Macaca fascicularis: one gene and its partner. The protein of the gene in region 1 interacts with the protein of each later gene in a pairwise test. Links are inferred from orthologs where the notes say so. Each region holds a gene or a part of one and is shown in the gene's direction. Other genes may lie near its edges.

What was found.
Region 2: the proteins of FYN (region 1) and SKAP2 interact in a two-hybrid assay, tested with the Homo sapiens proteins (2 studies listed by BioGRID and IntAct, with this or other methods). The link is inferred for Macaca fascicularis from reciprocal best matches to the Homo sapiens genes FYN and SKAP2.

The regions. Positions count from the first base shown.
Region 1 is NC_088378.1:15,713,747-15,720,055, reverse strand, and holds the end of FYN (tyrosine-protein kinase Fyn), read left to right. Parts: intron 1-4,355; coding exon 4,356-4,564; 3' UTR 4,565-5,017; downstream 5,018-6,309. UniProt on the Homo sapiens protein: Non-receptor tyrosine-protein kinase that plays a role in many biological processes including regulation of cell growth and survival, cell adhesion, integrin-mediated signaling, cytoskeletal remodeling, cell motility, immune response and axon guidance.
Region 2 is NC_088377.1:103,398,223-103,404,219, forward strand, and holds the start of SKAP2 (src kinase-associated phosphoprotein 2), read left to right. Parts: upstream 1-2,223; 5' UTR 2,224-2,383; coding exon 2,384-2,450; intron 2,451-5,997. UniProt on the Homo sapiens protein: May be involved in B-cell and macrophage adhesion processes. In B-cells, may act by coupling the B-cell receptor (BCR) to integrin activation. May play a role in src signaling pathway.

The DNA.
Region 1 (6,309 bases):
TCCTCAGTTGGAAGTGCAATAAAAAGGTTCTTCTGACTGGGCACGGTGGCTCACACCTATAATCCCAGCGCTTTGGGAGGCCGAGGCAGGCAGATCACTTGAGGCCAAGAATTCAAGACCAGCCTGGCCAACATAGTGAAACCCTGTCTCTGCTAAAAATACAAAAAAATTAGCCAGGTATAGTGGCATGCACCTGTAATCCCAGCTACTCGGGAGGCTGAGGCAGGAGAATTGCTTGAACCTGGGAGGTGGAGGCTGCAGTGAGCCAAGATCATGCCACTGCACTCCACCCCAGATGACAGAGCCACGCTTTGTCTCAAAAAAAATAATAAATAAATAAAAAATAAAAGGATTCTTCTCTCTAGTGTTCCCATGTCTCTCAAGACACTCTCCCAACTGCCCTGGTGCCCAAACTCGTGTTTATTCCCTTCCTATTCACTACCCTTCACCTCTTAGGTATTAGGTAAAGCCAATGTCTTGGGGAAAAGTGACTAAAAAGAGGAAATGACAGTTTTCTCTCTAACAAAAATATGAAACCATCTAAGAAGAAAAAAAATGAAATAGACCCATCTTTTTGGTAGTGTGCAGAGTAAAAGCCATTTTAAAAAATTATTTTTAAAAAAACATGATTTTCAAAATTCATATAGCTGAGAACACTATATTTTAAATACAGGTTGAGTATCCCTAATCCAAAAATATGAAATCCAGAATGCACCAAAATCTAGAGCCTCTTGAGCACTGACAGCGCTCAAAGGGAATGCTCCGCTTTAGGTTGAGCAGCCCTATGATGCAAATATTTCAAAATCCTAAAAAATCTGAAATTTAAAACACTCCTGATCATAAGCATTTCAGAGAAGGGACACTCACCCTGAATTAACACAATCCATTCAATTTAACTTTTTTTTTTTTTTTTTTTTTTTTTAGCTATTGTTTATAAAATAAAAACTAGCCTAAGCCTTGCTGAGTGGGCGTATCTTGATTGCAGTTATTGTTGCAGAGGTACATTGTGAAGAGGCCAGGTCTGTAGGTCAGCCCGTGCCAGTCCTGGTTTATGGATGGTTGGAAAAGAGCTAGTCCCATTCCAGTTGTCATTGTCAGCCAAGTGCATTGTGGAAATATCCCACTTTCCTGGCAAAGCTATCATTGGTATATTTCCACTTGGCCCAGTGCGTGGAATTGTTTTCATACGCTTCCCATGCTTTGAGAGGTCTGCGCAGAAGAAAACATGAGAAGAGGAGTGGGGAAGAGCAGAGGGGTTCAGACAGGAAAAGGGGGAGAGCGAGAAGGAGCCTGACCCTGTGGGTCTGCCAGGGCCCTGCATAGTCCAGCTTATACCCTATCCCCTGGCCTCCAAATGCCCAGGAAGCAGACTGCCTCGGAAGACACTACATGTTGAGGTTCACATCACCAAGTCTGCTGTGTCCAAGGCTTGGACTGAGCACTGGAAAAATGACCCAGTGGCCAATTAAACTTTCCACTGGCAGACATTGGATGAAAACTTTATTTTTAAGTGAAATCTTTCCGTTTGAGTAGTGTTTTTTTTTTTTTTTTTTTTTTTTTTTTTTTGAGACAGAGTCTCGCTGTGTCTCCCAGGCTGGAGTGCAGTGGCGTGATCTTGGCTCACTGCAAGCTCCGCCTCCCGGGTTCACGCCATTCTCCCGCCTCAGCCTCCCAAGTAGCTGAGACTACAGGCGCCCGCCACCACGCCCGGCTAGTTTTTTGTATATTTAGTAGAGACGGGGTTTCACCATGTTAGCCAGGATAGTCTCGATCTCCTGACCTCGTGATCCACCCGCCTCGGCCTCCCAAAGTGCTGGGATTACAGGCTTGAGCCACCGCGCCCGGCTAGTAGTTTTTTAATGAAATGAAGCACGTACTGACATGCACTCTGTGGAGAATAGGAAAATGATTAAATTCTGTGCTGCCATTTTGGGTGGCGGCACTCAGAGCCAGCGTCAAGCATTAGGAGGCATTTCAGGGGCTGTACCACCCCCAGAAGGATCTGTCAGGCCCTTCTGCCTGTCTCCCCTCCAGTTCCTGTGGGCTCCTGGAAGGGACAGAGACACAGGAGATTTCTGCAGGTCCAAGCTCTGTCGTTGCTGAAATATGAAACCAAGGACTGTACTGAAAGATGCGGCAAGGCAAATGCTTTGGAGAATGCCAATTCTGCTATGTGATTACACACTCTTCCTTCCTAATCTTTCTGGGCAATACGTATGAAGAAATAGAAACAGTAAATAGTGTCGTAACCATTTCAGGTTTTGTGGCCAAATGAGGTCAGTTCAGATCAGTTCTGCAGTCAAGTGAGTTACAAAAACTTGATGGTGTTCAGAGCTTGTTGGATTGCGGAATTGTGGAGAAGGAAATGCTGGCCTCTGACCGCATTTGTCTAGAGCCCAAAGAGAAGCCTGCCTTTCATTCCCGAGCAGCTCCAGTTCCTCCCTTGCTTCCAGCTCCCCCGCCCCCATCCCCCGTTTTCAGCCATTGGAGGAGGATGTAGGCTAATTAGCCACAGTGCTGCCTCTCCCTCTGCCCAAGCAACTGAGGAAGTCACTGGAAAGGCATGCATGGCACAGAGGCAGGGACCCTGACTCCCTCACCAAACCTCTCTCTCTGAAATAAGGGGTCGCCCTGACACGTGAGTGAGGTTATTTTACGACAATTGCATTGAAGGCCTACTTCAGTACAGCAGAAATAATATATGAATTTTTATTATCTCAAGAAATGATCATGGCAGAGAGTAAGAAAGCATCCTGAAAAGGTCTGGAGGGACGTGCGACGGACGGGCTGTGGTTGACAGCCAGGAGGAGCCAGGATGCACTCAGCTCTGCAAGTAACAACACAACCACGAGGACTGGCAACAGACCCCAAAGTCTGAGTGTTCCCTGCCCAGGGGGACAGGCTGTGCTCTGGGCCAGCGCCTCTGGCTGTGCTGACAGGTTTCCAGCTAGCAGGTCACCACCTCCCCTGGAAGTAAAGGGAGCGAGCTCCATGCGTATGGTGTGTGCTCCTGCTGGCTGTAGCCCTGGGAAAGAGGGGAAGAAATCTTGGTTTCTATATGGCTTGACGTCGAGTTCTTGCTCCTGCAAATTAACCAGGTCAGAAATTGGGGAGGATTCCAGATGACAGCCTCACCAGCCAGGAAGCAACCAAAGGATAGCACAGCTTGACAGGGAGCTGCCAGAAGGTGATCTAATGAAAAAGGGAAGCAAAACTAGAGAACAGTGGTCGGCAGTAGTTGGGAAGAGGTCAGGACATTGGCCACCCCCTAAGCATGGTAGTTCCTGTAGTGTTAAGGCGGCCAGTGTGCAGGAGTCCGCACTCTCTAAGGAGTTAATGATCTGTCTTCTGTTAGTGCTATGCAGCCCAGTGTTTCAGCAGCTTCCCCAGAGTCAGGAAGACCTCAGATGATGGATGGCCTGGCTGAGGTCATCAGTAGAGATAGGCCCCGGACATGGTCTGTCTCCCCATCAGATTCACCAAACCTCAGGGCAGTGGGGTCACAGGGCCAGACAGTGCCCAGCCACGCTGGCATGATGGCAGATTTCCCACAGTGAGGAACTAGGAGTTTGCCCAAGCATGAGGAAAACAAATTTATGAAGTTCATAAATGGAGTTTATAAATGCTATAAACAAGGGGCAGCATGCTTTCATTCTGTGTGGATTTTTTTGTCTGCTTTATTCATATATTTTTGTCAGTTTAATTGAAGTATAATTTACACACAATAAAATTCAACAATTTTAAGAATGCAGTTTATTGAGTTTTGACAAACATAAACAGTCACACCACCCCATACATAATATAGAACAGGGGTTGGCAGATCTGGCCCCCAACCTGTGTGTGTTTTGTACATTTTTAAAGGGTTGTTAAAAAGAAGAAGACAGGGATCATATGTGACCCACAAAGCCAAAAATATTTACTGTCTGGCCTTTTACAGGAAAAGCTTGTTGACCCATTGACCCTGACACTGAACATTCCCATCCCACTTGGAGATCCTTCTGGCCCCTTTGCAGGGATTCCTCCCCTCCCCAGGCAGCCACTGATCTGCTTTCTGTAGATGTAGTTGTGCCTTTTCTAGAATTTCGCATAAATGAAATCATACAGTATGTTGCCTTTTGTGTCTGGCTTGCTTCACTTATATTGCTTTGGAGAGTCATTCTGGATTTTTGCATGTCTCGGTTCTGCACTCCTTTATTTCTGAGTAGCATGGCAAGGTTTGACTCCTGGGGGGAATGGGGGCACTTCACATGTTTTAGCCACCTGCAGATGCAAAGAAGAAGAAAGGGGATCTGCAAGTGTGGCGGTCAGGGCCTGGAGCCCCGGGGTGCCCACTCTCACTGCCCTTGTCTTTGCAGGCATGAACAACCGGGAGGTGCTGGAGCAGGTGGAGCGAGGCTACAGGATGCCCTGCCCGCAGGACTGCCCCATCTCTCTGCACGAGCTCATGATCCACTGCTGGAAAAAGGACCCTGAAGAACGCCCTACTTTTGAGTACTTGCAGAGCTTCCTGGAAGACTACTTTACCGCCACAGAGCCCCAGTACCAACCTGGTGAAAACCTGTAAGGCCCGGGTCTGCGGAGAGAGGCCTTGTCCTAGAGGCTGCCCCACCCCTCCCCATTAGCTTTCAATTCCGTAGCCGGCTGCTCCCCAGCAGCAGAACCGCCCAGGATCAGATTGCATGTGACTCTGAAGCTGACGAACTTCCATGGCCCTCATTAATGACACTTGTCCCCAAATCCGAACCTCCTCTGTGAAGCATTCGAGACAGAACCTTGTTATTTCTCAGACTTTGGAAAATGCATTGTATCGATGTTATGTAAAAGGCCAAACCTCTGTTCAGTGTAAATAGTTACTCCAGTGCCAACAATCCTAGTGCTTTCCTTTTTTAAAAATGCAAATCCTATGTGATTTTAACTCTGTCTTCACCTGATTCAACTAAAAAAAAAAAAGTATTATTTTCCAAAAGTGGCCTCTTTGTCTAAAACAATAAAATTTTTTTTCATGTTTTAACAAAAACCAATCAGGACAGGTGTTTGTTTTTGTTTTCTTTTTTATAAATATGAATATATATATAATATATATGTCCCTGTACATATACAATGTGGGTGCTAATGTGGAGACTGTGGCCAGCCTGGGCCACCAAGCTATGGGACCCAGAGGGAGGATTTTACTGTAAGTCAGCATCAAAGCACTGGTGTTATTCTGAAAACACCAGTGGCCTCATTTTTGGCTTTTGCAAAGCATGAATTTTTTCATTTGGATTGCACTTTCCTGGTTCATGACTGTACCTGTAGATGGCTGTTACTTTGACTCTTTTCAGGAACCGCCCCCCCCAGGCTGAATTTACAAGTTCTGTTAGCAGTATTTGCTTCAACTTACTGCCGTTTGTTCTCAAAACTTAAAAATAAGCAAGCAAATGGCTACCGAGAGAACTGGAAGATGGATACCACACAAACTTCTTGTATAAAAATATGAGTGCTGAAATGTTTCAGACATTTTTAATTTAATAAACCTGTAACCACATTTAAATGATCTAAAACCCATAGCATTGTAGTCATGGCAGCCTGCTAAACTTTCTCATGCAACTAAAATTTCTGGGGGAAATGAGGGTGGGGGTTGCACATTTCCCATTGTAAAATAAGTGTTTTAAATGTCCTGTACTGCTAATGAATGACTTTCTATATGTCCAGGAGTTCTCCAGTGGAATAACTATGCACTACTTTACATTTCATGGGGATGCACAAAAACAAAAGAGTATTACATTTTTAGTTGCTGTTTGTACCACCTTAAATTACATATGTTTAACACCAACAAATCAAAAATCCTATTTCTATTGAGTTTTTAATACTGACTAGCAGCTCTTAATTCCTTTTTTGTTATGATTCATTTGTGAGTTTACATTTTTAAATTGTTTAACTTTCTTAATTTAGTAATTAAAAAGAGAGCATTTTACATTTGAATTTTTTTTGTTTATTTGTTTAAATCATGGAAGGTACTCGTAGTTCTGTGGTACATCTGTCCCACACCAGATGGTATGGAGTCACCTGGTGAATTTAGCCTTTGTGCGATGATTTGCAAATGACAGAAACATTCAGAACATCTGGAGAGTTCTTTTCCCTCTAGAAAGGGTAGGCTCTTGACCAGCTATTTCAGAGGGTCATTAAAGCAAACGTAGGCATACCTTACCATTTGAATTTATCAGGCATTTTTTCTAACTGGAATTTACTGTGTCCTGCTTGTAGGAGAAATAGACAATCACAAGAAGAATCTTTCTGTCCTGGAGTCAGTAGATGTTTTTCCAAATGTCC
Region 2 (5,997 bases), on another chromosome or scaffold:
AAGAGAGTCAGCCTCTCCTTTGAAGCTTTGAAGCCAGGCATTGACTTCTACTCTCTAGCTACAAAAGTTCTAGATGGCACTGTTTTCCAGTAAGTGTTGTTTCATCTACATTGAAACTCTTTGTTTAGTATAGCCACCTTCATCAGATATTTTAGATAGATTTTTTTTTTTGAGATGGAGTCTCACTCTGTCACTCAGGCTGGAGTACAGTGGTGCTATCTTGGCTCACTGCAAGCTCCGCATCCTGGGTTCACGCCATTCTCCTGCCTCAGCCTCCTGAGTAGCTGGGACTACAAGCGCCAGCCATGGCTGGCCACCATGCCCAGCTAAATTTTTTTTTTGCATTTTTTTTAGTAGAGACAGGGTTTCACTGTGTTAGCCAGGATGGTCTCTATCTCCTGACCTCGTGATCCGTCCGCCTCATCCTCCCAAAGTGCTGGGATTACAGGCATGAGCCACCATGCCTGGCCTTAGCTAGATCTTTTTGATAACTTGCTGCAGCTTCTTCACCAGCATTTGCTGCTTCACCTTACACTTTTATGTTCTGGAGATGGCTTCTTTCCTTAAACATCATGAACCAACCTCTGCTAACTTCCAACTTTTCTTCTGCAGCTTCCTTACCTCTCAGCGTTTGTAGACTTGAAGAGAGTTAGGGCCTTGCACTTGATTAGGCTTTGGCTTAAGGGAATGTTATGTCTGGTTTCATCTTCCATCCAGAACATGAAAACGTTCTTTACCAGCAATAAGTCTCCTTCACTTTCTTATCATTCGCATGTTCACTGGAGTAGCATTTTTAGTTTCCTTCAAGGACTTTTCCTTTGCATTCACTACCTGGCTGTTTGGTGCAAGAGCCCTAGCTTTTGGTCTGTCTCGGCTTTCAATATGCCTTCCTCACTAAGCTTAAACATTTCTTGCTTTTGATTTAAAGTGAGAGACATGTGATTCTTTTACTGGAACACTCAGAGGCCATTGTAGGGTTATTCATTGGCTTAATGTCAGTATTGTTGTGTCTCAAGTAATGGGGAGGCCCAAGAGAGGGAGAGATATGGGGGGAAGGTATGGTTGGTAGAGCAGTCAGAATGCACACATTTATGGATTACAGTCGCTGTCTTATATGGGTGCTGTTTGTGCTGCCCCAAAGTAATTATAATAGTAACTTCAAAGATCACTATAACATATATAATAATAATAATGAAAAAGTTTGAAATATTGTGAGAATCACCAAAATGTGACACAGACATGAAGTGAGCACATGCTTTTGGAAAAATGGCGCCCACAGATTTGGTTGATGCAGGCTTGCCACAAACCTTCAATTTGTTAAAAAATGTAGTATCTGGGAAGCACAAAGATGTATGCCTGTTAAAGGTTTTAAAGAAGCCATTTTTTTTTTAAGAGAAAACTTTTAAGAAGCTTTACACATAGCAGACAATAAGTATTTGTTGACTAAATGGTCAAGTTGGAGTGAGCAGATTTTATAATTTTATTCTACTAATCACCACCAGCAATTTTATTTTTGATGCTTGTAGATGGACAGTGGTGCCTATGTCTATTAGGCCTTCTGATTTTTTGTTTTGTTTTGTTTTTTCCTGCCAAAGGACAGTGCTTAGAACTTCCCATTCTTCCTTATAGTGGGGAAAATCTGTCACCCCAAGGATATGAATTAGGTAGAAAAGTAATGTAAGAGCCAATCACAACGCGCGCTGCGGGGCGGCTCCAGACTGGCTTCTCCGGGACGACTGGCGGAAGATGAGACTTCGTTACCTCCGTTCAATCGGACAAAGAAGGCCATAATAGTTTTGGACAATAGAAAATTCCTTGTGGGTTAAACTGCGGTGGGACTAACTGTTACGCAGAAGGCGTAATTGGAAAACTTCTATACACTGTGTATCACGGATACATTATTTTCTGGAATCCTGGAGAAACGATCAGCAGGTGTGGTGGCACCAGTACCAAAAATGGCTGTAAGGCGCTTCGGACGCTGGATCAGGTGACGCAGCCTCAGTCCGCCCACTTCCCACCAGCGGCTCCTCCTCCTGCTTCCCGGCGTAGCGGTGGGCGTGGCTTGCCCAGAGGCTCTTTCTTCTGGGGCCGGGAAAACCGAGGAATACACATGCGCAGTTGGACCCCTCAGGCCCTTCGTGTCTCTTCCTACCCATCTCCCCGCCCCGACCCTCTGGGCGGGGCTGGGCCGACAGTCCAGCTGCTGCTTGCTGGAGATTCAGTGACTTCCTTGTTGTGAGCCCTGGCCCGCCAGTGTCCCGACTTGTAGCCCCGCTGTTTTTATCCGGGCCGCTAGCCTGAGTCTAGGTCGCAGCCGCAGCCCCAACCCGTCGGTCACCTTTTCAGCGCAGGTTCTTTCCCCGCACGCCCTGCGCTCCCTAACATGCCCAACCCCAGCAGCACCTCCTCTCCATACCCCCTCCCTGAGGAAATTAGGAACCTGTTGGCAGGTAAAGAGCGGGAAGGCGGCGGTAATGCTGTTGGGGCGGGGGCGAGGGAACGGTAAGCCGGTGGGGACAGAAGCACTCAGAGCCCTTATCCTCCATCCGCACGCTCCCTACGTCTTCTAGCCAGTGGGGTTGGCACAGGGAGGAGAGAAGAAGGGTTGTTTCGTCTCAGAAAGGGAGTGGGCGTGTGTGTTGAAATCTGGTGCGGGGATGGTGGCGAAGCCCTTTTTGGTGGTCTACACAAGTGAGATCAGGACGTTTCTATGTGCATTGTGAAGACTGTGTGTGTGTGTGTGTGTGTGTGTGTGTGTGTGTGTGTGTGACAGAGGAGGGCGGGGAAGGAAGAGTGGTAGAGGGAGAGAATGATAATGAATGCTGCGTGAGCAGGCAGAAGGGAGCAGAAGTCAAAGAAGTAGTTCTTGGGTGGTCTGGCCAATGGAGGTAGAGGATGTAGAGATGCAAAGAGATGTCAGAGCCACAGGTGTTAGGGGTTATGGGGTGAAAGAGTTTGTCATTTCTAAAACTCCTGTTTTTCTTAAACATTCAGCTCACTCACGTTTACAACTTTTGAAGAAGGTCTGGTTCTCAAATGGCCACTTGTCCCCAGCCTCAGTAATATATTAAAGCAAAAAAGGAAGGATATGTTAAAGTTCTACTTCCTGTGTGACACGATGAAAGTACTTCATGTTTGCACCCTTATCTTCCCTTTTTCAGTTTTACATTACCATTTATAGGAACTTGTTTTAGGAGCTAAAAACGTGGTTCTTCAGTAGCATTATGAATCCACTACTAGTTCATTAATTTTCTGGATATGGAGGTGTGTATGTTCACTAAGAACCAATAAAAATTTATATTTCTGTACAAGTTAGAAAATATATCTTTTTAAGGTAGCACAAATCTTGCCTATCTTAATGTTCTGGAATTTCAACCATCATTTATTTTGTCTTGTGTACGTCAGAATTCTGGAAACTGAATTTCGATTTTTAGTTTTAGATTCTATAAAATATTTATCTTTCAGTATTGTTCATGAATAGATTACAGATTGCTTATTATAACTCTTAAAAAGCAACATCATCTAAAATGTGACATTTGAAATAGTAGGTTACTCCTATAGCAATGTGAGTCCAAATCTCCTAATATGCTGTTATTCAATTTTGGTGCTTGGCATTATTAATGTGGTAGGGAAATGAAAACTAAGTGTATGAATGTAGACTTATGTTTGTATGATTACGGTACAGTATGTTGAATGCATTTGTGGTGGGATAGCCTTTCACTCTAAGAAATGCTTGTTGTCATTAAAGGGTACCACTAAGGGAAATAGTTAAAGAAGTCTAAAGACTGACTTCAGGCAGCTTTATTACATCTGCGTGACTACTGATTTTGTTTTACTACACTTAACATTTTTTGTTGTTACAGTGCTGGAATTGTTTATTTAGAATATTATTGTAATAACCAGTGCAGAAAAGTGTTTATCATTATTCCAAAAATAGATGAAACAATTTTCAGGATATTCTATGTCTGTATTTTTGAATTTAAGAACTAACATATAGACCTCTAGGTGCACGTTTTAAAGCTTGGCAACTCCCATAGTGCAGTTTGTTATTTGGATCCATAATCATACATCACAGATAATATGATATGTAGGTCATGAGAACCTTTATTCTCTTATTCCCATAGATCACAAGTATTTCATGTGGCCCTTATTTGTGTAATTTAAAAACTCAAAATTACATCTTTAAATTATCTGCCAATGCTAATTTCCGATATATTTCTGCCCTCTCTCTTTAGTCAGGTAATATACTAGCATAACGTCTGAAATTAAAGTCATTTTATTGACATTTTCACTATTTTATATTATTAAAGCAAATCACATATTAAAACACATGAAGTATTAAAAACAAATATTACAATTAAAACTTTTGGAATTAGAAACTTAAATTACACTTTATTTTCAGAGGATATTTTCAAGAAGTATGGAAGTGAGTTGGGGTGTATTTATATTTAAAGAAATTTAACAAATCAGTGTTTTTTGGGTTTTTAAAAAACTTATTTGGAAAATTGTTAACATCTTATGTTTGACTGTAATTAAAATCTTTTTTGAGGTAGAGAAGGCTTCAAGAATAGATGCTGTCAGCAGTTATTTCACGTATTTCATCTAAAAATATTGTTGGCATTATACATGATTCTTTTCATAATTCAAGTTTATTGGGTAAGAGTATATGAGTAGATTTAGAGTAACTAACATTATAGAAGCATTTATATTGGTTTGAATATTAGAGATATTGCTGGCTTATTTAGCATATTTCTTTGAAACTAAGGAGATATTGGTAATGTTGTTGTAGTTAACAGTTGAGTGCTCTTAGAATGTATGGTACTATGCTAGAATTCCAAGGTAGAGAAGATAAGGAACTAAACTTTTCAGGGGTTTAAAGTCCTTTGTTTTCAGAAAGAAGAATATAAAATCAAAAGATAATGACTGTTAAAAATAATGTTGTTTAGATGTATCTGTTTGTGTTCCATATGCCTATTATCTAAATCATTATATGTCATATGTATTGTTTGAAATTTCACCTGCTTAAAAGGGAAGGTACTCAAGTGTATTCTTATTTATTGTTTTTCTTTATTTTTCTGATTATGGCAGTTCTATGCTATACTTTCAACATTTGTTCCCTCTCCCTTCCTTCCCCTATAAAAAACATTCCATAGAAATGTAAAAAAAAAAAAAAAAAAAGCTTATTATTGTTAACTCACATGTGTTGTGTAAAGATACCATTGAAAAAGTGGCTATCTAGTTTGATTTTTAGTTATATTTTCTGTGGAGTCAGTCTTGAAGACCTATGCTTTTTATAAAATGTTGATTATTCTTCTGGTTATATGAACAGAAAAGGACTTACAGAATTTCGTTATTGAAAGCAAATTTTGAGCTGCCATATGCATTACAGGCAACCTTTGATTTTTTTCTTTTCTACAACAATGGAAGAACAGGTTTAGCCTGGATAATTGAAATCAAAGGACAATCCCAAATCTTGTCCATTTAATCTTCTCTCACATCCAAATATTTTGACAAGGACTAGCAGCAAGAATAATCTTGATTTATGTGATTTTTTTTTTCTCTAGGCAGGCCAGAAAGTAAGAGGAACTAGAACCACTTCCCTCCAGCCTCCTTTATTTGTTTAATCACCCTTTAAATAATGGTTTTTTAGTGGCTTGCAATCAGATATTCTCATTCATCCTCATTCATTTGTTTTAGGACAACAAATTTTAAAAGGAAAGCTCTAAGAAGATGTTATTTTCTGTTTACTAAATTAGCAAATGAAACCATTGTTAAAAGAGGAAAATAGTGATTGTTAGTGCTCTGAAAAATGAAACCAAACCAAACAAACAATAAATAAAGTGGTTATATAGTTTCTGCAAAGTGATCTTGAGGTTTTGTTCACATGGCAGTCTTGATTAGAAATACCACATTTTCCCTACTGGGAATTTTTAGAACATTAAAAATGTTTTTCCCACACACTATGTGTGAAGATAATCAGTATGTTTAGGGGACATT